Diceros bicornis minor: one gene and its partners. The protein of the gene in region 1 binds, or shares a complex with, the protein of each later gene. Links are inferred from orthologs where the notes say so. Each region holds a gene or a part of one and is shown in the gene's direction. Other genes may lie near its edges. The genes, in order: LRP6, SOST and DKK1.

Evidence for each region.
Region 2: the proteins of LRP6 (region 1) and SOST are in contact, whole or in part, in a crystal structure (PDB 6L6R), measured with the Homo sapiens proteins. The link is inferred for Diceros bicornis minor from reciprocal best matches to the Homo sapiens genes LRP6 and SOST. Residues at the interface, in NP_001401174.1 of Homo sapiens: Arg28, Asp52, Val70, Ser71, Glu73, Leu95, Ser96, Asp98, Glu115, Arg141, Trp157, Trp183, Asn185, Ala201, His226, Phe228, Trp242, Met269, Arg336, His361, Asp379, His404, Asp406, Thr422, Glu447, Arg449, Trp465, Trp491, Asn493, His534; in NP_079513.1 of Homo sapiens: Leu115, Pro116, Asn117, Ala118, Ile119, Gly120, Arg121, Arg169, Thr171, Arg172, His174, Asn175, Gln176, Ser177.
Region 3: the proteins of LRP6 (region 1) and DKK1 are in contact, whole or in part, in a crystal structure (PDB 3S8V), measured with the Homo sapiens proteins. The link is inferred for Diceros bicornis minor from reciprocal best matches to the Homo sapiens genes LRP6 and DKK1. Residues at the interface, in NP_001401174.1 of Homo sapiens: Arg639, Glu663, Ser665, Ile681, Tyr706, Glu708, Thr724, Arg751, Trp767, Gly768, Gly769, Pro771, Val790, Gly791, Arg792, Asp811, Thr812, Asn813, Leu814, Pro833, His834, Phe836, Trp850, Ser851, Tyr875, Met877, Arg1184; in NP_036374.1 of Homo sapiens: Glu185, His204, Phe205, Trp206, Ile209, Gln218, Val219, Thr221, Arg224, Arg225, Ser228, Gly230, Leu231, Glu232, Ile233, Phe234, Arg236, Ser258, Leu260.

The regions. Positions count from the first base shown.
Region 1 is NC_080756.1:48,574,182-48,581,836, forward strand, and holds the start of LRP6 (low-density lipoprotein receptor-related protein 6), read left to right. Parts: upstream 1-4,547; 5' UTR 4,548-4,716; coding exon 4,717-4,771; intron 4,772-7,655. UniProt on the Homo sapiens protein: Component of the Wnt-Fzd-LRP5-LRP6 complex that triggers beta-catenin signaling through inducing aggregation of receptor-ligand complexes into ribosome-sized signalosomes.
Region 2 is NC_080757.1:42,474,269-42,482,587, reverse strand, and holds the start of SOST (sclerostin), read left to right. Parts: upstream 1-5,156; 5' UTR 5,157-5,292; coding exon 5,293-5,512; intron 5,513-8,277; coding exon 8,278-8,319. UniProt on the Homo sapiens protein: Negative regulator of bone growth that acts through inhibition of Wnt signaling and bone formation.
Region 3 is NC_080745.1:51,554,886-51,562,833, reverse strand, and holds the start of DKK1 (dickkopf-related protein 1), read left to right. Parts: upstream 1-4,932; 5' UTR 4,933-5,056; coding exon 5,057-5,302; intron 5,303-5,545; coding exon 5,546-5,708; intron 5,709-6,789; coding exon 6,790-6,933; intron 6,934-7,062; coding exon 7,063-7,316; 3' UTR 7,317-7,948. UniProt on the Homo sapiens protein: Antagonizes canonical Wnt signaling by inhibiting LRP5/6 interaction with Wnt and by forming a ternary complex with the transmembrane protein KREMEN that promotes internalization of LRP5/6.

The DNA.
Region 1 (7,655 bases):
GGTATGCAAGTACATATGATTTCTCCCTTTTCTTATCTCCCTTTCTCCTTCCCTTCATTCCTTCTTTTCTTGTAAACAAAAATTCCATCACATTGTACATATTATTCTCTAACTTGCTTATCAATTAACAACATATCATGGTTACACTTCCAGATCAATATATATAATTCTTTTTAACAGCTGTACAGTATGCCACATAAGGGTATACCATTATTTATTTAACAATTGAAATGCATTCAGGTTCTTTTGATTAGGTCGAACCATATAAAACTGCCATTTTTATAGGCTTCCTTTTTGTTTTGTTTGTTTTCTATTACTATGTTATAATAAATATCTATGTATGCATATCTCTATAAACTTTTGTTTCTGTGGATAAATTCCAAGAAGTGGGATTCTAGTGTAAAAAGTGTGTATATTTTACTCCTAGATTGCTTTCCTAAAATGTTGGCATAACGTATGGTCCCCTCAATGACGTTTTGGGAAGTTATAGGTCACAACGGCCTCTTTTCAGTGCTTCTATTAGCAGACTTCTCTGCTGTCTACTGTATTTGCCATTATTGACACACCTTCTCTCAAGGCAACACTTTCAACCAGTTTTACACTTGCCTCTTTTGGTCTCTTTCTGTAGCTTCTCTTCTTCTATTTATTCCTAGATACTTGTATATCACATGGTTCTGCCCTGGCTCACTTTTCTAGTCACGCTAAATGCTCTATTCTCTCCTTAGGTAAGTTTATGGTTTCAACTATAATCTCTACCCTCCAGCCACCAATGAGGTGGCTCAAGGGTGAATTCACCTGAATTAGAAAAGAGTTTCCCTTCCTGAAGACGTCTGACTGTCATTGTCCACAAAACTGTGGTAATAACTATTCAATCACGATTTAATATTGTACAGTATGTCCCGTGGATTGGGTGGTATACAAGCTCCACCATCAGCGCTGAGAGCTGTGTTTTCCTTTCCTCTCCTGAGTCCAAACTTCTATATCAAAACTGTCTACTGGACATCTCCAGCTGGATATTTTACAGACACTGCCAATATAAAAGACCCATTGTTCAACTTATCAACACCCCATCTTGAAATACTCCTTATGCATTTCTTTTCTTAGAAAATGAGACTCTCATTCACTGCCGCGCATAACTTGGAAACCTGGAAATTCATCCTAGACTATTCTCTCTCTCAATTCACTGATAGGTTACCAAGTCCTGCTGTTTTCATCTCATAGTCCTGAAATCCATCATCTCTTTTCAACGCCCAGTGCTGCTGTCCTGACCCTCGCTTTCATACTAAAAATAACTTCCTCACTGGTCTTCCTACTTTTTGCCTTCCTCCCTTCTATTATCTACACTGTTACCAGAGAAATTATTTAACATGCAAATCAATTCTCCACCGTAAGAAAAATCCTTCAGTGTCTACATCATCAACAGGCTAAAATCTAAACTTCTTAGCATGAATTAAAAAGCTCTTTATTATCCAATACCTACTTACGGTCTTGCCTCATTTCCTGACACTGTCTAAAAGCACCCTATGCTTCAGCTACATGGATCTCCTTTCAAATCCCCAACATGCCAAGCTCTCTAATAATTCAGTGCCTTTGCACCTGCTATCCTTCTGCTTGGAATTCCTTGTCAGTCTTCTTGGCCTGATGAACTCCGATTTATATTTCAAGACTCAGCTCCAAGTTTATTTTCTCTTCTTTAAATTGTTCAGGCAGACTTAAGTGCTTCTGCACTTGAGTTTGTTGTTGATATGGTACAAACTTGCACTATAGCAATTTTAACATTTTAATTATTTGTTGTAATAATTAGCGTTTCCAAAACAGGTTGTAAGTTTCTTGAGGGTAGGGACTATGATTAATCTCATCTCTGCATCCCCAGCACTTAACATAGTGACAGGCACTGAGTATTTTTAATAGGCTCTTGAATGAATACGAAAACAAATTAGGTAGTAAGAACAGCATCTTCGCTAGGGCTTAAGCTTAAGCTATAGATTTTCACTTAAGTACCTTAAAAATTGTAAAAAATACACTAAAGGAAATTTAAGAACAGAAAAATAAAGTAAATCTCATATTATTTCACCATCTTAATCCCTGTTTTAGCACATTTACTTTTGGTCTTTGCTCAAATATGTGATTATATATGTGTTTATGTTACACATGTATATGCATTCATATTTTACATAGCTGAAGTTAAAATGTACATGCACGTTCATCTTTTTAAGCTTAACTAATTGTAAACATTTTCCAACATTGTTGGAATATAATACTTCATTACCCTACTTAGGTTGACAGCCTAAAGAGACTTAAGTTGTAAACGAGTTTTCTACGATAAATAGGAACAGATCCAGGTTTCGTGGGACTTGAAATTTACATAATTTTGAGGAATGTTTTCAGAAAAAGCACACAAAATTATCTTACTTTTGCAAATAGGACCATGTGAACACATTGTTGGGGCTCCTCCCTGGGCTTTGGAAGAGAACTGTGAAAGTGAGGGGTCCTGAGGGTTAATTTTCATTAGCTTCACAGTTCTCTACCTCCAATTATAAATAATCCTGGAATAAACATCTCGAGCATGGAATTGTCCTCTCTCTTCCATTATTTCCCAAGGATTCCAAGTTACTATGATACCATTCCCCTTGAAGGAGCTGAGAAAGGGAATGATCATTTATCGAGCACCTATTATATATTGAGCAGTTTATAGATATTTAATTTAATATCTACCACAAGCCTGAAGGAGGTATTATCCCCATTATATAGAGGAGAAAACTGAGGTGCAGTGTATGTAAATATGTCTGAATGACACATCTAGTAACTGGGAGGGTCTGGATACTAACCCTCATTCCAAAGCTCATGCCTTCCCTGCCGCATCATGGTGTCTCCGCAGCCTCACTAGCTTCACCATAATACATTCCCTAGGCTACTGTTGAAAAACCTGGCTCTCAGTTATTGGTTCTGAGGAGACTAGAATACAAAACTTGCAGAGTCCTGACGCGACTCTTGGAAGAAGATAATTTAAATCAGTGGCGGTTAGCCTTTCGCTGGTGAATTTAGGGGAAAGTGATTTGGCTGTCTGATGACACACAGGCATCCCCTTGGTTCAGGGTGCCTTTGTTGGAAGGAGCAGAGTGTCCGTAATGGGAAGACCTGGGTTGGGTTCGAGTCCTGCTATTCACTCCTTGAGTGGCCTTGGGTAAGTCACTGAACGCCTCAGGTTCTCATTTTCCTTCTCTGTGCAGTGAGAATGATAAATAACAAAATCCGCCTTACTCCAGGGGAGTTTTGAGTTCAAATCTTATAACGTGTGTGCAAGCACTTGGTGAACTCCAATGTCTCTGAGATTTTGGTAACATTGCGGGAGTAGCTCCACCTCCTCGCCCATCTGCCCCCAGGTAAGGGCGTGTGACAGCTGGGCAGAATGCACCTGATGGCTCCATTACGGTCAACTGGCGGTGGAGTGCCCTCCTAGACTGAAGCTGCCACGTGATTGCAGGGGCCGTCTGGGCCGTTACTCCTGAACGCCCTGTGCACGGAGAATAGCAGAGGCTGTGCAAAATCAGAGTCTGACATTCTGGGGAATCCTTTCCTTCTCAAGCTGGGAACTGATCATCAAAACATGCCAAACAGTCATCATTCAAAGCAACTTGTAAAATCCCAAATACAGTCCTGATCAATTGTCCCTTTGCTCTGTCTTAGGTGTTGACGCATTTATTTTGGAATTTTATCCACCGGTTTAGAAATCGTTAGTTCTTGTCGGACTTAATTCTGGGGGCACTCTGCAGTTCTGGGAAGCCAGGAGAAAATACAAATCTCAGTTTGAGTTGGCGTTTGAACACCGTTCACTAGATCCACGTTTAAAGCTGGTGCAAGCAGCATTAGTTTTTATTTTCCTTGCAAAAAGAAAAAAGATGCTTACACCAATTTCCAACCCTGAAGATCGAGCTCTTCACCCCGTGTCGGGATCCGCGGGGCTCCGGGAGCGTGGACCTGCAGCTCCGCGGCCCCGGGCCCGCCACCCCTTCCTCCGGCCCAGGTGGCAGCCGGCGTGGACCAAGAGCTGCACCTGGCTCTGCAGGCGCCGGCCGCACAAAGAACAGAACAGGCGGCGGCCCGGCCGAGCCGCAGAAAGAAGTCCCGACCACGCCGTCTCCAGTGTTGCTCGACGTCGCTTCACGCCCTCCGCGGGGAGGGCCGAAGCGGCCGGCTCGGGAAAGAATCCCATTGGAATGCGCCGCCTGGCAGTCTTGCGCCTCCAGCTCGCTTCTGCTCGCCCGGCAGATCTCCCGGGGTCGCCAAGCAGAGGCCGTGCGCGCGGCCCCCACTTCTTTTCATAACCGCACGGGAGGCGGCGCCGAGGGAGGGGGCTCGTCCGCGCGCAGGGAGACTTTGGCGGCGGCGGCGGCCGGCCGTATCCCTGCGCCGCTGCGTGAGAGGAAGAGGCTGAATGAGGAGCTGCGCGGGGGAAGCGGGGCGCCAGGGGAGGAGGCGGCGGGATGGGAGCAGACGCTGGCGTCGCGCGAGCCCCGGGCAGAGCGGCGCGCTAGAGAGGGCGGCGGCGGCGGCGGCGCGCGCGGAGCCTTGACGTGCCCCTTTCTTTCTTCTCTCTCTGGAAAGCTGGGAAGCATGAGCATGCAGACCTGCCGCTGCGGCGGCCGCCCCGGCTCCTTGCCTCCCCCTGGTCTGGCCGCCCCTCGCCGGTGAGAGGAGAGAACGCGAGAAGGGAAGATGGGGGCCGTCCTGAGGAGCCTCCTGGCCTGCAGTTTCTGTGTGCTCCTGAGAGGTGGGAAGAACGGGGAGGGGGACGGGAAAGTTGGTGGGATTTGGGGGGGAGGTGGCCTGGTGTGTGTCTGGGGGGAGGGGAGGGACGGAGGAAGGAGAAGGGGAAGAGGAGAGAGGAGAGGCCTGGTGGTGGGGAAGGAGCGAGAAGGGGGCCCGGGAGAAGGGGCTGTGCGCCCCGCCGGGCCACCATGCAGACCCCCGCCTAGGTTTCCCGACCTTATCTGGACAGATCGGAGCCTCGATCCGGGCTGCCTGGCTTGGTGACCCCCTGGAGCCCCTTTCTCTCGGAATGACTGAGGGTCTGCGTGTCCCCTTCTGCCTGGAGTCCGCAAGGAGAAGGGTCTTTGTATGTATTTTGGCTTTTAACATGTTCGAGCCCAAGATGCTTTAACGTTGGCCTTCCCTCTCGAAGCCCCCACCTTTCCCGTGTCTCTTATGTGAACTTTGAGAGCCCTCTTCCTATTTTTCCAGGCCGTGTAACAACTAATAATTGGCTTCCGTGGGGGATATAATGATCCTGGGTGAGGGCACAGTTGGAAAGTGACTCCGAGGTTATATAGGTCGAGCGTTTCAGCCTTGGGACTCTTGGGAGCCTCAGCCCATAATAAAATAGAAACGTTGCCCTTGTTACCCCTGATGTGCAGGACCTGCCCCTATTTTCGGAGCGTGCAAGTGTACAGTTGGCACTAAGTAGGAAAGTTATCCATGTGTGAAGAGGAGCCTGTCCTGGGACCTAAGTTATCATTTGCTGCGCTCCCCTGGGGACTGCTTGGCACTTTGGTAAATAACACAGGCTATTCTGGATAATTTGCTCCGAGAATCGCATAAATTCGATGGTCTGGTGGTTTTTGGAATTGGCCTGCAAAGCTGTCACATACGTTCTGACTTTTATTTTGTGACAGTTCACCAAGGTTTTTGACTGGTCTGCAAGATTTCGGCAGCTCTCAAACTTATCAGTGTTGAAGTGGTGATGAGTCTGATGCTGTTGAGCGTTTACCAGCAGAGGAATTTAAGTACTGATGGATGCAGTGGCTTGTAGCTTTGGTTTTGTTACAGTTCTCACTTGTCCTCATGGTCAGTTCTTTTCAGGTATGGGACCCCTTGAGTCTATGAAGATTTTAGCTATTAATTTAACAAGCTAAACGTTTGTTAAGCCTCCAAAACTTACTGAAGTTTGCAGAACACGATAGTAACCAATGATCCTGTGCAATAAATGACACATGCCGTTTCTGTGTGTATATATTTATTTTGGATGGGAGAGATTGACTTTTTTTTTTTTTGGAGGAACTTTTTTCTGTACTCTTCTGCGGAATTATTACGTTTGCATGTTATATCTACTTAATAATTAGGACTCACGGTAAGCCTATTATGAACTATTTACATATGTAAATCCCAGAAATATAGTGATCATTTAATTGTCTTGACAGAGAATTTAATGCAGTGTTATGAACTTAGAGGTTTAATAAGTATATGTTTATTATAGTATACTCCCTGTTGAGAGGGAATTTTGCTATAGCTGTGAGAAACAATTATATTTGACATAAGAATAAGTATATATTTTAAGACAGAAGGTTAGTAGAGTTAAGAAATATGAGAGTCAGCTGATTGGTTAGAATCTTGGAGAACTCTAAACCCATAACCCGGGATGTTTCTGGTTACCCAGTTGTATTTCTTGGAGAGGAAGGGAGTGATGTAAATGCTATTTATTTATTTTAACACCAAGTCTGAGCCTAGAGTCGGGTTTTTTTCATTGCTGGAGTTGAGAGAAGTTGCACTTGAAGTAACGTGTTGAAGTGTGGTTTTATGTAACAAGACCTAAAAGAGCTAATAGTTTAAATTGCCTCATTTACACTAGCAAACAAAGTTTCCAAAAGTGGAGCTCTCATTTTAAATGTAGCGTAATAATGGTATCAGGTGGTCTTTGAATTTAGCAGTACTTAACTGTGTGTACATGTTATTTGAACTTCAACTATCTTGATGTGAAAGCTTTTTATTCATAATTTAGATTCTTTTCACTCCTTGATAATGTCACCATCCTCTGTTATAATAATTATATTAGTTAACTTTGGATTCCAAGGAGAAATAGGTGATTAATTTGTTGCATTAAGATTTTTCCTCACTGGGCCGGCCCCGTGGCTTAGCGGTTAAGTGCACGCACTCCGCTGCTGGTGGCCTGGGTTGGGATCCCGGGCGAGCACCGACGCACCGCTTGTCAGGCCATGCTGTGGCGGTGTCCCACATAAAGTGGAGGAAGATGGGCACGGATGTTAGCCCAGGGCCAGTCTTCCTCAGCAAAAAGAGGAGGATTGGCAGATGTTAGCTCAGGGCTGATCTTCCTCACAAAAAAAAAAAAAAAAGATTTTTCCTCACAGAAGAGTTGGAGCTTTAACATTGGGAAGATGGGGTGATGAGAATTTGGGAGACGTTTTGTCCTATACCCCTGTTAAATCAATAGCTGAAAGCCGGGGAATAATGCTGTCATCATCTGGGCTGCCTCCCTGTCCCTGTCATCGGAGGACAAGTTGCATTGGAAAGATTTGGGGATTTCAAAACTAAAATCTTGGGTATAAAGTCCAAGCTTCATTACTCAATAATTTTGTGTTTCTGGTCTTGTCAGTTAATTTCTCTGGGCCTCAATTTGTTTTCCTGTAAAATGTGGGTAATACCTATCTGACTAATTTGCCGGTTTATTTGGCATATTAAATGAAGTAATGAATGTAAAGTGCTTTGCAGATGTTATTTTCTGTTATAATTTTTGACTGTGGGCATATTCTCAAATGCTGGGAATTTGAAACTAATTTGTATAAGATTCACAAATTCTTAAGGTAGAAGAGATCTTGATCATTCTGGTCTAACCGCTTCATTTGCAAGTAGGGAAACTCAGG
Region 2 (8,319 bases), on another chromosome or scaffold:
AATGGAGAAAGAAGAGTGGGGGGCAGGTGCAGCCGGGTTCTGGAGGGAGAAGACAGTCTCCAGACACACACGGTGACAAAGAGCCTCTCTTGGGCCAAACCTTTGTTAGGCTCCTCTGAGCTTTTTTCAACTGGGCCTCGACTTTTGGGTTTCCTTGTTCCTCTCTGTATTATTCAATTTTAGTAAGAATCCTCCACCCTCCATATCTGATCACCCTCAATGTCTATTTGGGTTCCTCATCCCCCATGACCCCCCAGGTGAAGTCTGACCACCCTGGCCTGCCTTCACCAAGAATCCTCTTAGGTTGGGGTAGCCAAAATCACCCTTACCCCTAATACTTCCTCTTAGTAATTTTTCATTCACTGCCCCCCTCCCTGCTCCTTGGCTATAGACCCCACTTTACCTCGTATTCGGCGTGGAGCCCAATCTCTCTCCCCCACTGCAAGAGCCCATTGCAGTGGCCCTATACCTCTCACCACAGTACTCCCTTGAATAAAGTTTTCTTTACCATTTTTAACAAGCATCATAAATACCTTGTTCTTTAACAAGAGTTTGCAGACAGGGGCTCTGCAGGCAGAGGGTGGTAGTTTGAATTGAATGGCAGTTGGGGAGGTGCTGGGGATGAGTCAGGGCCCCACCTTGAAGGGCATGGTCTGCCAGGCAGAAGGAAGTGGAAGGTTATCCTGTTAGGGCCGGGGGAGCCATTCGCCTATTCTAGGCAGGAGGGTGAGTGACAAAGCTCGTTGGAGCTCCTCTCCCCCTTGTCCCTCGGAAGCTGCTGAATGAACAAGGAGGGCGTTTCCCCTGTGCTGAGACCCCGAACTCTACAGAGAACAAGTTCTCAGCTTGAATAGAGACAGGGTGACGTGGACCTCCCTCAATGCAGGAAATGACCTGCAGAAATTGCTCTCCAAAGTCAGAGACTCCATTTTTTGTTGTTGTTTTTCTGCTTGAGGAAGATCTGCCCTAGCTAACATCTGTGCCAATCTTCCTCTATTTTGTATGTGGGTTGCTGCCACAGCATGGCCGTCAATGAGTGGTGTAGGTCCGTGCTCAGGATCTGAACCCCAGCCGCCGAAACAGAGCGCACTGAACTTAACCAGTAGGCCATGGGGCCGGCCCCCAGAGACTCCATTTTTACCACTGACCTGTGGAAGCAAAATCTGTTTAAAAATGGAGCCAATAAGGAGAATCCTCAGTTTCCATGAATTAGAGTCAGGGAGCTTGAGAACCAAGTAGACAGTGAAACTAGGTGACATTTGAGGTTCCTTTCAGATCAAAGATTCTGTGATCCTAAGAGGTCCAAGGAGCATAACTTACTTGCCAAATTTGGCCTGTCCTTCAAAGTCTGGTCCAAATGCTACGTCTTCCCGTGAGGATGCCAAGTCCACCTCAGCAAGGAAGAAATTATTCTCTCCTCCTAAGGCCCAGAACACTTTGTCCTTTTAAAAAAACACATCTGAACCATTTCTTAGTGGTACCAATCACTTTCTACGTGCTATTGGAGTTATTTGGGTGGAGAACTTATTACTTCTCTGGTACAGGAGCTCCTGGAAGCCTGGTGGGAGGCCTTGCTTCATTAAATGTTTGGCAAGTGGATAGGCAGCTTGGTAGAAGCCAGTAAATAATCACACAGAAAAACAACTTCACTAGGAGTTAAGGTACAACTATTAAATTACTAAATTCAATTTAAAAAATGTTAACAGCTCAAACCCGGTGTGTTGGCAGCTTTGTGGAGAAACATGCTGTTATGGATGGAATTGTGTCCCTCCACAAGTCATATGTTGAATCCTAAGCCCTGGTACCTCAGAATGGGACCTTATTTGGAAGTAGGGTCCTTGTAGATGTAATTAGTTAAGATGAGGTCATTAGGGTGGGCCCTAATCCACTGTGACCGACATCCTTATAAAAAGGGGGAATGAGGACACAGACGCACACCGGGAGAACTCATGTGAACATGAAGACAGAGATCGAGGTGAAGCTTCTACAAGCTCAGGAATGCCAAGGATGCCAGCAAACCATCAGAGGCTAGGGGAGACGCACAAAACAGACTCTTCCTCACAGCCCTCAGAAGGAACCAACCCTGCCAACACTCTGATCTCAGACTTCCAGCCTCCCGAACTGTGAGACAATACATTTCTGTTGTTTAAGCCCCAAGTTTGTGGTATCTGTTTCAGCAGCCCTCACAAGCTAATGCACGTGCCCACTTGTATGTCGCTGGTGGGACTGAGGAAATGACTGGGTTTTCTGGAGAACAACCCTGCAATATGTAGCAAAATCATTCACCCTCTCAGACCCAGCATTTGCTTCCGGAAATAACCCTAAAGTTAAAAAAAAATTACTTGGTAGAATACTACTCAGCAATAAAAAGCAACAAATTGTTGATACATGCAAAACTTGGATGAATCTCCAGAGAATTATGAGTGAGGAAAGCCAATTCTCAAAGCTTACGTACTGGTTGATTCCATTTATATAACATTTTCAAAATGACAAAATTATAGAAATGGAAAACAGGTTAGTGGTACCATGGGTTAGGGGTGAAGAGGGAGGGCTTGGGGAGGGTGGGTGTGGGTATAAAAGGACCACGAGAGGGATCTTTTTGATCACAAGTTGTTCTTCATCTTGGCCGTGATGGTGGACACTTGACCCCACACATGTGATAAAGTTGTATAGAACTAAACACACACACACACGAGTACAGCTAAAATGGTACTCTCAATTTGATTGGGGGATTGTATCCATGTCCAGATCCTGGCTGTGATATTGTCCTATAGTTTTGCAAGATGTTACTTGAGAGAAACTGGGTAAAGGGTATACGGAATTTTCTCTGTATTATTTCTTACAAGTGTATGCAAATTTACAAAGATCCCAAAACAAAAAGTTTAATTCAAAAAATTACTTTGTACAAGGATGTTCATAGCATCCCTACTGAGGATAAGGGAGCATTGGAAATGCTAAAACCTAAACTACCTACAACAGAAGTCTGCTAAAACCCTGGGGGTTTAACCCTGGGGAATAGTGTCTAGCTCTGAACAACGACAAGCTTGTGGACTGAGTAAATAGAAAGCTGAATTAGCGTTAAGTGAAAAAGCAGATGGTATCATAGCATGTTCTCTCTGAGCCCTTCTGTAAAAAGCATGGCTATACATTGGCAGAGAATAATTAAAAAAGAAGGAGATAATTTAGAGGTTCAAGTCCATTGGATTCTTCTCTTTTTTCTCTTAACATTACTTCAGTTTCAAATAAAGTAATGATACGAAATAAAGCAATACTGAGCCTCTCCATCCTTCGGTCGCTGGCTCCTCCTTCCTTCTCCAGCAGGTGGCAGAAATGTTCCAAAGATGGCCCTCACAGTCGCGGGGTTCATGTGGATGGGCTGGCTCCCAACAGCAGGTGGGGCTCCAGCATCAATCGCGCCAGCTCAAGGAATCCAGGCGTCAGAACTGCCCTCTCTGAAGTCCAGGCCCAGAAGGCAGTTGTGCAGCCACGACGGGGTTAACGGTCCACATTCCAGAGCAAGGAGAAAGGAGGCTGGAGGGTCACAGACAAGGGGAGGGGGCACAGAGGGCCAGCTTCTCACAATACACCGGCTCTGTTGGGAGAGATAGATCACCCCCAACAATGGCCACAGCTGTTTTCGTCTGCCCTGAAGGAAACTGACATAGGAAGCAGGTATCAGAGAGGGCCCTTCCTGCAGAGGCTTCTGTCTGGCTTGTAAAACTGTCAGAGCAGCTGCATTCATGTGTCGAGTGATGGATGATGGAAAGAAGGAGGGACAGACGGCCGCAGATGGACACAGCGACCTACAAGTCGAGGCAGGTGGCAAAAGCCTGGCAGAGGCTCTGCAGGTGGGGCGTACTGATTCATGGCCCAGTGGAAATACCAAGGAGACCTAGGCCACAGCCCTCTTCCCAGCCTCCCTTCAGGGCCAGGAGTGGGCGCGGCTCCTCAAACAATCCGTTTTGGATGAAAGCTTCCGCTGGCCCTCCTTTCTTTTCCTGCACCTCAGGTGTGAACCTTCCTGCCCCGTGCCTCTCCCTCTTCAAGGCCCCTCATTCTGCTCCAGGGCTGAGGTAGCAATTCCTTCTCGTTTCTTTGTGGCTAGCTGGACCTGCGATGGCTTCATGGAATGCAGCCCGTGACTTGCACCAATAAGCTTTTCCATCTAGCACTCAAAGCTGCTTTTGAAAACTGTGGTGGGCTGGGAGACAAGAAAAAAAAAAAATCTCAGCACTAAAAATGTTGGCCCTGGCTTTTGCTAAGAAAAGGGATTTTGTGCTCCCCACTCCTACCCACAGCCCGGCTGGGGAAATAACTGCCTTTGGCACATCAGCCTGCAAGCCCTAGGGTGTCCTGGCCATAAAGTGCCTGTCACCGTGTGCAGGATCCCCGAGGAGCATGAGCTGAGGTTTCCTCGAGCTCATCGCCAGAGCCTGCTGACTTGCTCATCCCGGCCTTGTCACCAGAGTCCCTGCCCCTCACCCAAGCAGGCATGTTCAGTGTGACCCCCCCCCCCCCCCCCCCCCAGTTTTCTCTCTTGCCTTCCAGAGGATGTCAAGAAGGGCTTTCTTGGTCAGGATAATGCTGAGCCTCATGGAGTTGGGACCAATGAGATTTCTTTTCTTTTCTTCTTTTTTTATTTTTTTGTGAGGAAGATCAGCCCTGAGCTAACATCCATGCCAATCCTCCTCTTTTTGCTGAGGAAGACCGGCCCTGAGCTAACCCGATGAGATTTCTTAAAAAGCATCCTTTTGCCTCTGTCTGGGTCTGTGGGGGCCAAATATACACCCCTAGGGCCATTTATTGGTGCGATGACAAATGCATTTGGCCTGAGAAATGGGATTGGCTGGGCTCAGCCCTGTGGAGGACCCAGAGCTGCAGTTTTCTGTGTTCAGCTGGTCCACAGTTTGTTTTGAGAAAGCCCGAGGGACCCAGGGAGGTAGAGATGAAGAGCCGGAACTCATTTGATATCCGAAAACCACAGCCGCCTGCACGTGGGAGGTGTTGGAGGGCAGGCTTGCCCCACACGCCCTGCTCTCCCTGGGTCACCTGGGAGCACCAGCAGCAATTTGGGAGTTTTCTGGGCTTGAGAAGAAGTCTTTGGAGAGGGCTTGCTCGGAGCACAGCCTGTTCCCTCCCCCTGGGCTGAGGGAAGCATGGGACCAGCCCTGCCCCAGCCTGTCCTCATTGGCTGGCATGAGGCAGAGGGGGCTTTAAAAAGGCAACCGTGTCCGGGCTGGGGACCAGAGCCTGTGCTCCTGGAAGGCTGGGTGCTCTCCTACGGTTGGCACCATGCAGCTCTCTTTCGCCCTGTGTCTCGTCTGCCTGCTGGTCCACGCAGCCTTCCACGTGGTGGAGGGCCAGGGGTGGCAGGCCTTCAAGAACGATGCCACGGAAATCATCCCTGAGCTGGGCGAGTACCCCGAGCCTCCCCCAGAGCCAGAGAACAACAAGACCATGAACCGGGCGGAGAACGGAGGGAGGCCTCCCCACCACCCCTTTGAGACCAAAGGTACGGGGGAGGAGAGACTCTGTAGCACATGGGTCCTGGTGGGTTCTCTGTGGGAGGTTTTGAAGACTGGGGTAGACTGTCAGCCACTGCCAGCACCGGTGGAGGGACAGTCTTGCCTGGAGGCAGGGGAAGGATGGCATGCCAGTGTAGCCTTGGAACTGGAGTGCAGGGGCGTGAGGCTGGCAGGAGGCTGGCAGTGAGAGCCCGGGGCAGCAAGGAGGCTCAGGTGGTGAGGGTACAGCACTGGGACAGGCTCAGGGGCTCTGAAAAAAGGTTTCAAAGAATCCCCTCCTGAGAATAGAGGAGTACAGGTCCAGCTGCTGGCACCACTGGGGAGGGGACAAGGCAAGGGAGCCTGTCATCTGAGCACCTGCTGGAAGCCAGACACTACGCCGCCGTGCCTGTCCTGTCCCCAGAGACCCACAGTGTGGGAGCCCCATGAGGGGAACTCCCAGTTTGAGGTGAAGAAACCGAGGCTCCAGAGACTAACTTGGTAGTGAGTAGAAGAGCTGAGATTTGAACCCAATTTGAGCCAATTCCAAGACAACTCTGGTGGGGGGATTGTGTGGGGGTGTTGGGGACCAAGAGCCAGAGCAAATCCTCGCAGAGAAGTGGGAAAGGGACGCCAGAAAGGCTCCCCGTTGGCCCCCCTGCCCACGGTCTGCCCAGTGAGCCGGCACTTGAAGGAACGGGGGTTGTAGGCACAGTTTTAGCCTCTGACCTAGGTGGCAGCTGGGTCCAGGGCCTGGAGAAGAGGCAGCATCCTCTGTGCAGGGAGTGGACACAGGTGGCATTGTCTGTCCTGAGTCCCCAACCCAGACCCAGCCTTGCCTCATTCCTGGGGAGGGAGCCTGGCCCTAGTGAAAAGGCAGTGGCCCCGGTGGAGGGCACAGCTGGGTTCCTGCTCAGGTCTGCACACAGGAGCCTGGGAGGCAGTGTGCACAGCTGGCTCTGCAGCTGGCAGGAATGGCTGGGGGCAGGGACTGGAATGACACTTCAGAGTGAGGGCCTCACTGCCCTCTGGCCATTGTCCAGGTGGGAGAGGAGTCCACTGCCCAGGCTCCTGCATCCCATCCCTCCCCGCCTCACGACCACCTGGGAATGTGGGGCTCTGCAAAGGGCAACCCCAGAGAGGCTGGAGGACCTCAGGTCTTCAAAACGGGAGAGCAGGAGGCCCCTCCCCCGCTCTCCCCCAGGCAAGTTCACCAAGCTCCAGCAGTGGGCTGTAGGGGACTCAAGTACAAGACATCCACCTCCCTGGGCTCCCATGAGAGGCACAAGCCCCAATGAAGCCACGTGCTCAAAACAAAGTCACCCTCTGCAGAGGAAGCACCTGACCTAGGGTCACTATTCTTGGAAAGACCCAAACTGCCTCCTTCCCTGGGCAAACAGGTCACTCCCACACACCACAGCCTGGGAGCAGGGGTGAGGATGCCAAACTAGCCCAGAAACCAGAAGGCCAGCCAGGGAAGGAAGGCAAACCCCACAACTCCCCTGCTGTGCTTGTCCTCCAGCGCCTGGGGGTGGGGGCCTGGCCTTCTCTGCCCCCTCTCTGGTTTTGCTCTTAGGACTATTTTCACCCCTTCGTGTCACATGGTAACTGTCCCCATGAGACCCTTGGGGGTAGACAGGCGCTCACATGAGGACCAGCTCTTTAAAAGGCTCCCAGCAGACTAAGCCCACAGTAGGAAACATGATCAAGATGTCTTGGGGGGACCAAGCCAGGCCTCAGAGCCCAATCTCCCCGGACCCAGGGAGCAAGCCTGTCCATCAAATGGCCCAGCAGAGTGCCTGGTACACAGCAAGTGCTTAATGTTTGTGGCAGCCGAAACTGTAGGTTTTCAGTCCAAGCTTGGTCCTCCTCTGGTAGGGAAGTAACTGTAGTAAAAAGCAGCCCTTCGCCCCTCCCCCAGCCTAGCCTCCCATGGGTGATCAGGCACACAGCTTCCACCCTTGTGGGAGCTGAGAGGTTCCGGGGCGCCAGGGAAGTGGAGTCAGGAGACCCAGGTCTGCCGTTTGAGCCAGCCCTTCTCCCTCTCTGGGCCTCAGTGTCCTCAGTGATAATGAGGGGGTCTGACAGGCTGCCTTTGGTTCCTTTCAAGTCGAAAGACTTCTCTCCACCTCCCCTTCCAGCCCTCTCCTCCCAGCAGCTGCCCTGACTTATTACCTCCAATTAACCCCTACTCCTGTCTCCATCCCCTCTCCACCCCTCCCAAGTGGCTGGAAAAGAAATTTGGGAGAAGCCAGAGCCATGCAGAGGGTGTGGCTACCACCTACCCTCCATGGCTAGGGACCCTGTGGCACAGGTGTGACTTCAGTCTGGTGAAGAGGGCCCCCTTAGAGACGAATAATAACAACACATAACAATAGCCAACACTTTCAGTTCTTACCACGCGCCTAGTGGCGTCCCCTGCATTATCTATGTAATGGGTTAACTCACTGAATACTCAAGACAACCCATTTTACAGATAGGAAGCACAGAGAGGTTAAGTAACTTGCCCAAGATCACGCAGTGATGGAGTTGGTGTTTGAACCACAGCAGTCACTGGCTCCAAAGAATTAGGGGGAGAGGGTGGGTCAGGGTCAGGGTGGGGCTTTCCACCAGCCCCAGAGTCCCTGGGCCCTTCCCATAATAACTCCCAGGGGCAAGAGCGTCTGGAGAGAGGCAGGTTTGGAAAACGCGGGAGTGGCGTGGAGGGAGCCTGGCCGGGCGGGGATCGGGGGCTGGGCCTGGCCGTCGCCCTCACGCGCGCCTCTCTCCGCAGACGCGTCCGAGTACAGCTGCCGCGAGCTGCACTTCACCCGCT
Region 3 (7,948 bases), on another chromosome or scaffold:
TATATATATATTTTTTAATAAAATCACTTGGTTCAAGTAATTCACTTTTTTTTTTCAGAGACTTAAAACAATATATTGTCTTCAAAAACCTTACATAACCTTACATATTTTCTTCAAAATCAAAATATAGTATTGATGTCAGTGATCATTACTTTATCCTTAGGCTGCCTGAAAGAAGGGGCCTCTTGTAGGATGCTCTTACTTTAATCAGAATACAAAAGGCCTTGTCCAGGCAGTGCTTAAAATAAAGGGGGGAGGGTTATAGTCAGAAAGGACCTCTCCACCTCCCTCTCATGCCATTTTAGAAATGAAAGACCAACTCTGAGAGCTAAATGGCCTGACCAATGTCCCCTTTTTGCCAGCCAGCTGGTGGCTGTCACAGTAAAAGTCCCAGTGCACCAAGTTCCAGCCCCAGACTCCTGCCATCTTGGCAGATACCTTTCTTGGCCACGACCTTTGGAGAGTGCCTGCATTATAAAGGAGGTAATAATAGGAACCCAGTGACATGGAAGAAAACGATTTTTCTCTAGGTTTGGAGCCTGTTTCAAAAGGATCTTGCATCCTGCTTTCTGCTGTCGTGGGCCAGTCTTCATGGTTGGAAATGTCAAATCCTCTAGGGGGATGTTAAGGGGACCATTTTGCACTCCCTGTAACTATATACCACAGACCTGTCTGAGTGTCAGGACATCAGGAAGTCCTCTCTCGATTTTAGTCAAAAGTTTCTGGTTCTGGGCTCTATTCTCAGATTAGTTTTTGATGTCTGGCTCCTGTAAAACACATCTTCTAAGCTGGGTTAGAAAGCTGCCATGGAGCCTGATTTATCTGGGCTGGCCATCTCCACTGACCAAATAAACATAATCATTGTCAAATCTCGCCTTCTCTTTGTACTGAGTGCAGAAAAGCCTAATCCAGCCTCTCAGGAGTCCTAACAGGGGCCTGGTCTAAAAGCTCTTTTAACATCATAAAGAGCATTAAGACCAAAATCTTTTAAAGGCCAGTGAGAAACTCATAACATTTTTTACTAAACTCAGGAATGAGAAATCTCTACTATAAATTCAAGACCAGTGCCAACAAAAACGTTGGCAACACTCACCATAAGGAATGACATTTTTTCAGTGTTTTCCTAGTCAAGTAAAATTAAATGGCAACAGATCTGCTTCCTTTGATTTAGCAAAGAGAAAGAATGAAAGAAGGAGAGAAGCAAGGGAAGGAGGAAAGAAGAGAGGAAGGAAGAGGGTGAAGTAAAAATGCAGCAGTCACATAAGAATCTCAAATAACAAAGATGGAAAAATAGTTTGCAAATAGCATCGTGTTTTTTGGAGTATATTTGTCTGTCCGTCTGTCTTCCTCACGGATGAAGAGGTTGAGTATTCTATGCTGGGCATATGACACTTAAAATGAGAGGAAGGCACAAGGATCATACCATTCCTGAGTTATGAGGCTTGATTCCACATTGATAAACATGTTCACCTATTTTACAATTTAATACAAAATATTAAACTTATTGCATTAATTATGGTCATATTTAAACCAGATCAAATAGGAGGCAGGGTTCCCTACAGAACTAAATAAACTAGGTTTAATAAACTAAATACACCTGATCTGACTCCCACCACCTGTCACCTAGCTGTAGGAGAGAGTCATCAGAACCCTCTCTTCCCTGAGGCTTGTTGATCACAATTCCTGGACATTTTTCTATCTTTCTCATGACCTAGTATGTGCCAAAATATAATCTATTTTGGAACCATTTGTACCTCCATTCCCAAGTAAATATATTTGTTTCCCCAACTTCTCATAGACTGAAAGCTCTCTGAGGACAAGGAGCCTGCCTTTAATATTTTGAGGGTATACTCCCAAAGGTACCAGGGTAGCATTTTGCATATAATGGGCATTCACTGAATTTTAATTGGCTGCTGATGTAACAATGAACTTCATTTTACCTCCTTACCCACCCGGCTCTTTTGTTGCCAGTGAGCAAACTCAATCATGGAAAGGATTTTCAAATGGAGACTCCATTGAAATAGTAAATTTTCCATTTGGAACAAAGAATTAGCTTGCTGAATACACAGCTCTCTCTAAGGCCCTCCCACATAATTTCTCTTTTGTATAATTTCAAAGTTTACCTACCCTCCACCTACTCAATTATTTGAAGATAGGCAATATGAGAACTCATCTTTCATCCCACAGCGCCAAGTACCATGCTTAGCGCATAGTAGGAACCCAGATGTTGACCAATTCATTATTAGCTTTCAAAACATGACAATTTCAGGAGCAACACGGAAAGTGGGGAAGGAGGTAGAACCCAATCCACTCATGTAATCCCAGGGGTACAATTACTCTTGGCTTAGCTCCCCTAACTCAACACAACAGATTCTGTCCAAGCTCAATGAATATGAAATCATAACAGACACATGGCTTCAGGGATCAAGATTGAATTTATGCAACATATCTTTGTTAAAATTTTCCTTTTGCTGATTAAATTGTTCCACGTTTTTTTGCCCCTAGACAATGGTTTCATTTGTGAATCCAAGCTCTTAATGAATGAAATTCATTAAATGTACTAACATGTACCATCTCTTACGAAAAGAAGAAAAGAGATTGGCCTTTATTGTGGCACAAGCATATTTTTAGACATATTTAAATAGGATAATGGGACTAGGAAGAAATATTTTCACCCTTGCCAAGGACAGGGTATTCTTTCTCCACATTGCAACATCGTAAGAATTTAAGACAGACTGGAGATTTTCTACCATACTGAAGGTGCTCAGCACATTGGTTATTGACATTGTTATCAATATTCTGCAAGTGATAATATGGCATCTCAAATCCCCGATGCCTTTACCCTTTCATCCTATAATCTTCTCGGTCTATATAAACTTCAAGTCGACTGAGAGTAGGGCCATATCTGCCCAAGGGAGACCTGACTCATTGCTCATTCTCAATAAAAAGTATATCGACATTTCTTAGCCTCATTACTTAAAAGCCAATATAAACAACCTCTTCTTTGCTTCCAAATTTCAATTTGTTCCAAAAATTTCTAGAATAATAGCCAAGTCTAGATCATTGTACATGTTCATAATAAAACCTAAAGAAATATGTAAGATTTAATCCGTGTTACAGTTTCAAGCAGGAATTATCAATAAGCCGGAGGAAATTTCACAAGATAAATGGAATTTGGGATGGGATGGATACCAGTGTAATTAGAGGCATTATTAAAGAATTGTTTAGAAGATGTTCTTAATATGATCTCTGAAACCCAAAGAACCAGAATACAGACCATTACAAAATTTTTTGAAATTACTCCTCCCCCTCTTAACATTCGGATTATACCATTTCAGTACTGTCACTGGGTATACTTGGTGGTACCAGGCATGAATATAGTAGGTCAGTGTGTAGAGTAATTGTAAATACCCTGGAGGTTAGGGAGCATGAAATAAATATATCCTAGTCTTTTTTATTCAACAGTGATTATTCATCTCTTTTCTAACCTCGAATAGCAGTTGTCCATTAGTTTATAACGTCAACCTGTTTTAAAAAGAATTGTGTACACTTCTTATCTTTTATTATTACTATAATTAGAATAAAGTCTCTTAAATATATGTATCCACTGCGCCCCCCTGCCCTCCCCCCCCCCCCAAAAAGCAACAACCAGGAGGGAAGCCCAATGTCAGGACACTAGGCTTCCAATATGTTTTTGTTGAAAAAATAAATTATTTCCAATTTATAAGCAGGACAGCATTCTTATGCACTAGCCTAACATTATTTTCATACACTCATTTAAATGATGTCAAATTCACTTTCAGCTTCCCTTTTCGAGCAGCTAGTCTCTTATCTCCCTAGAGGGGATATTCCCCGGTCGGGGAATGGTCTGACTTGGGATCAAACACAGGCATTCTCAAGCTTTGCGATATGAAATACTAATGAGGAAGTCGGGCGCTAAGCCTCAAGGGTTTCTTATCTCCCTGCGTTAACCCACCACTGAGAAGGGGGCACCGGGGAAAGACGACTGACCCGGCCGCTGGACCCTGTCCGCTCTCGCTCTGGCCACTTTGATCTCGCGCGTCTGCCTAATCAAGTTCATCTACTGCCGCGACTGCTCAGAGTCAAAGAACAACATTAAATAGTTTGATTATCGGATGGTCATTTCCCTCTTCCCTCCACCCCTGATCTCATTTCCAAACGCCAGTCTCTCGCCTCCCTCTCTAAACTTCCCATCAAAAGAGAATTAGTTCTTCTTCCTTCTTACCCTCGTTTGATGTGCAAATTTCCTTCTCTTTGCACATTTTTCTCTCGGTGGCAGGGGTGGGGGGGGGTGGAGGAAGGAAGAGGGAGGAATTGAACCAACTTAAAGCCAAAGACCTCACCCCAAATCTGCAAACCAACCGTGACTCTAAAGGGTTAATCAGCAACTTGCACCGGCCACCTGGCCCTCTCGCTAAGATGCTTTGATAGAGACTTTGGATTACTGATGGGGTTGTATTTAATACTGAATATTATTTATGTGCACAATAAACCAGTACTGGCATAAGGGAGAGAGGAGAAAAGGGGTTTTGCAGAGACTGTCACAATTCCTCTGAAAAATGTTTCAGGTCCCGATAATCCGACCCTACTGCAAGGCAAGGGCACCCGAGTTCCCGAAGTTCCTCCCTTCTCCTGTGTTTATTAAAAGTCGTCTGATCTGATGGGCACTGATTACGGTCACCCCGAAGGTGAGCTGGGCCAGGGGAGCGACTGCGCAAAGGAGGGGTGGGCTGAAGAGTGTCAAAGGCTCCCCCTCATGTACACAAACACACCCCCTCCCAGCCCCTCCCAACGCTTTGAAATCCCATCCCGCCTTTGTTGTCTCCCCCCGAGGGGCTGGAATGCTCCGAGCCCGCAAGTATAAAGGCAGCCGCGGTGGCGGTGGCGGCGCAGAGCTCTGTGCACCAGGCAGTTAGAACTCTGGGACCTCTGGAGGCTGTCAGAAGCCTGACTCTGCAGCACCGCTTGGTGGGACCAGGCTTGCAAAGTGACATCCCTCCTTTCTCTTTCTCTCTCTCTCTCGAGTCCTCCTGAGATGACGGCTCTGGGCGCAGCGGGAGTTGCCCGGGTCTTGGTCACCCTGGTAGCTGCGGCTCTTTGCGGCCACCCTCTGCTCCGAGTTAGCGCCACCTTGAACTCGGTTCTCGTCAATTCCAACGCCATCAAGAACCTGCCCCCACCGCTGGGCGGCGCTGCCGGGCACCCAGGCTCTGCAGTCAGCGCAGCTCCGGGAATTCTGTACGAGGGCGGGAACAAGTACCAGACTATTGACAACTACCAGGTGAGAAGGGTCTCAGGGATCTGGGGAAGCTGTGACCCTAAAAGGGTCTCTTTTGGGGAGAAGGCGTAGAACGTGCTGAGTGTGTGCGGTTCAGGGCGCATTTGGAAACTGCATTTGGGAGCAGTGGGCAGCAACAGCTTTTGGACAGGTGGGCAGAAAGAAAATGTGATGAGCGTCGAGACCCAGGAGTGTGGGCACCTGGATGCCCAGATGCCTCACCCTCTCCCGGCCCCCTTCCCGCAGCCATACCCGTGCGCCGAGGACGAGGAGTGCAGCACCGACGAGTACTGCGCGAGTCCCACCCGCGGAGCCGGCGCCAGCGCGCAAATCTGCCTCGCCTGCAGGAAGCGCCGAAAACGCTGCATGCGTCACGCTATGTGCTGCCCTGGGAACTTCTGCAAAAATGGTGAGTCCGGTCGCTCCCTTTCTGACTCAAACTGTCCGGTTTCTGCGCGCCTACCGATGGGAGAAAACGCTCTCTGGGAAGCTGTGGCGCCACCTGCAAACGGGTGTTCAGAATGCGAGGTTCCCCTGAAATATCTTCATGGCGAGTGATTAATCTGGGAGGAGAGAGAAGTACGGAAGTCTTGGAGCTCTTTATCTTCCTCTGTGTCCCTCAATTATTTAACACGACGGCTTACCTCTGAGTGGACCCTTCCATAAAAAATTTGAGGAGTCTTGACACGGATTGAGAAAGAAGGTGGGGAGGAAGGGAGGTGGAATTATACAGAGAGCAAGGAAACCAGCTCTGGCGTTTAGCTGCCTTTTCCATTTGCAACAGAATGATTTATCTGTGCTGGCCATTCCTTAGGGAAGATCTTGATAGCTTCGCATCTTGGCCTCTCCATCCTTACCCCTTCCTCCACCTCCTGCTACCTTAAAATAAGTACTCCTCTTCCCCTCCCACCATAGATCCACTAAAATTCAATGTCTCAAAGAGGTAGACTCAGCCCAAGAAGTCTCCAGAAATAAACTTAAGGGTGGCGACCCTCCTTAGGATCCAGTAATACTCCAGGATGAACTAAATCTCTGTAATATAGAAATTATACAGTAAAGTAACTGGTGGGTGAGATTGTAATCTTCCAGGCAGCTGGTGTTGCTTTTGCTTAACTTAGTCTGGCGGTACCTATATAGCACCAAGGGCAGAGAAGTTATTTTTAAAAACAATTTTTTAAGTGACTGATTTTCTTACCCCAAGGGTCATATTAAAATGGGCAGAAATCTCACTGCCACTACCACAGTTGGTAGGAAAGTATTTTAAATGGCTATATATGGGATGTCGCATATGACTGAACAGTGTACACACTGATGCTTCTGTCCATCTGGGGAGTTTTGCATGAACACTAGGGAGGAAGTTTGGCTTGTGCTTAAAATGTCACTGCAATGAGGTATCAAGTTAGTGCAGGCATACCAGACTGCCACTGTTACAGCTGGAGGTAGTAACACATTACAGCTTAGAAATTAATCACTCTCTCCTGCTTCCTTAGGAATATGTATGCCTTCTGATCACAATCATTTCCATCGAGGGGAAATCGAGGAAACCATTATTGAAAGCTTTGGTAATGATCACAGCACCTTGGATGGGTATGCCAGAAGAACTACACTGTCTTCAAAAATGTATCATACCAAAGGTAGGTTGGAGGACCTTAAGACTCATTCTTCTTTGTTAGCACATCAGAAGTGTCCATCGGATTATCTTAATGAAATAATGCAGGCTTAGCAGTGACCACATACTTTTCATTTTGTCTCCTCCTTCCTAGGACAAGAAGGTTCTGTCTGTCTCCGATCATCAGACTGTGCCACAGGGTTGTGCTGTGCTAGACACTTCTGGTCCAAGATCTGTAAACCCGTCCTCAAAGAAGGTCAAGTGTGCACCAAGCACAGGAGAAAAGGCTCCCATGGGCTGGAGATATTCCAGCGTTGTTACTGCGGAGAAGGTCTGTCTTGCCGGATACAGAAAGATCACCATCAAGCCAGTAATTCTTCTAGGCTTCACACCTGTCAGAGACACTAAGCCAGCTGTCTGAACACAGTGGACTCCTTTTATATAATATAGGCTATGAAAACCTTTTGTGACTTTGTCAGCTCAGTCCTTAAGGATGTACAAATTCTGTGGTTACAGTTAAGCATTCCAATACCTTCCGAAAATCTGGAGTGTAAGAGCTTTGTTTCTTTATGGAACTCCTCGTCACTGATTGCAGTAAATTACTGTGTTGTAAAGTCTCAGTGTGGCACTTACCTGTAAATGCAACAAAACTTTTAATTATTTTTCTACAGGTGCTGCATTGTCTATTGTTCCTCTTGTTATGTAAATTTTTGTACACATTGTTATCTTGACACAAATATTCTATATTGAATTGAAATAAATAATTTCAGCTTATACTTCTTAAGTGCATAACCCTTTCCCCTTTTACTTCTAGAATCTAGAATGCAAGGAGCTTTTGGAATGACAAATGATAGGTATCTAAAATTTATCATGAAAATATTAGCTTATTTTCTGAAATGTACTATCTCAGTGCTTAGATTATATTTATCTCTAGGCTGTGATAGCCCTTGAAATAAAATTTAACATTTAATACTATGAAATGTTACAAGTTTAAATTTTAGCATTGTGATCTGAGAGGCGTGTGTGTGTGTGGTCTATAG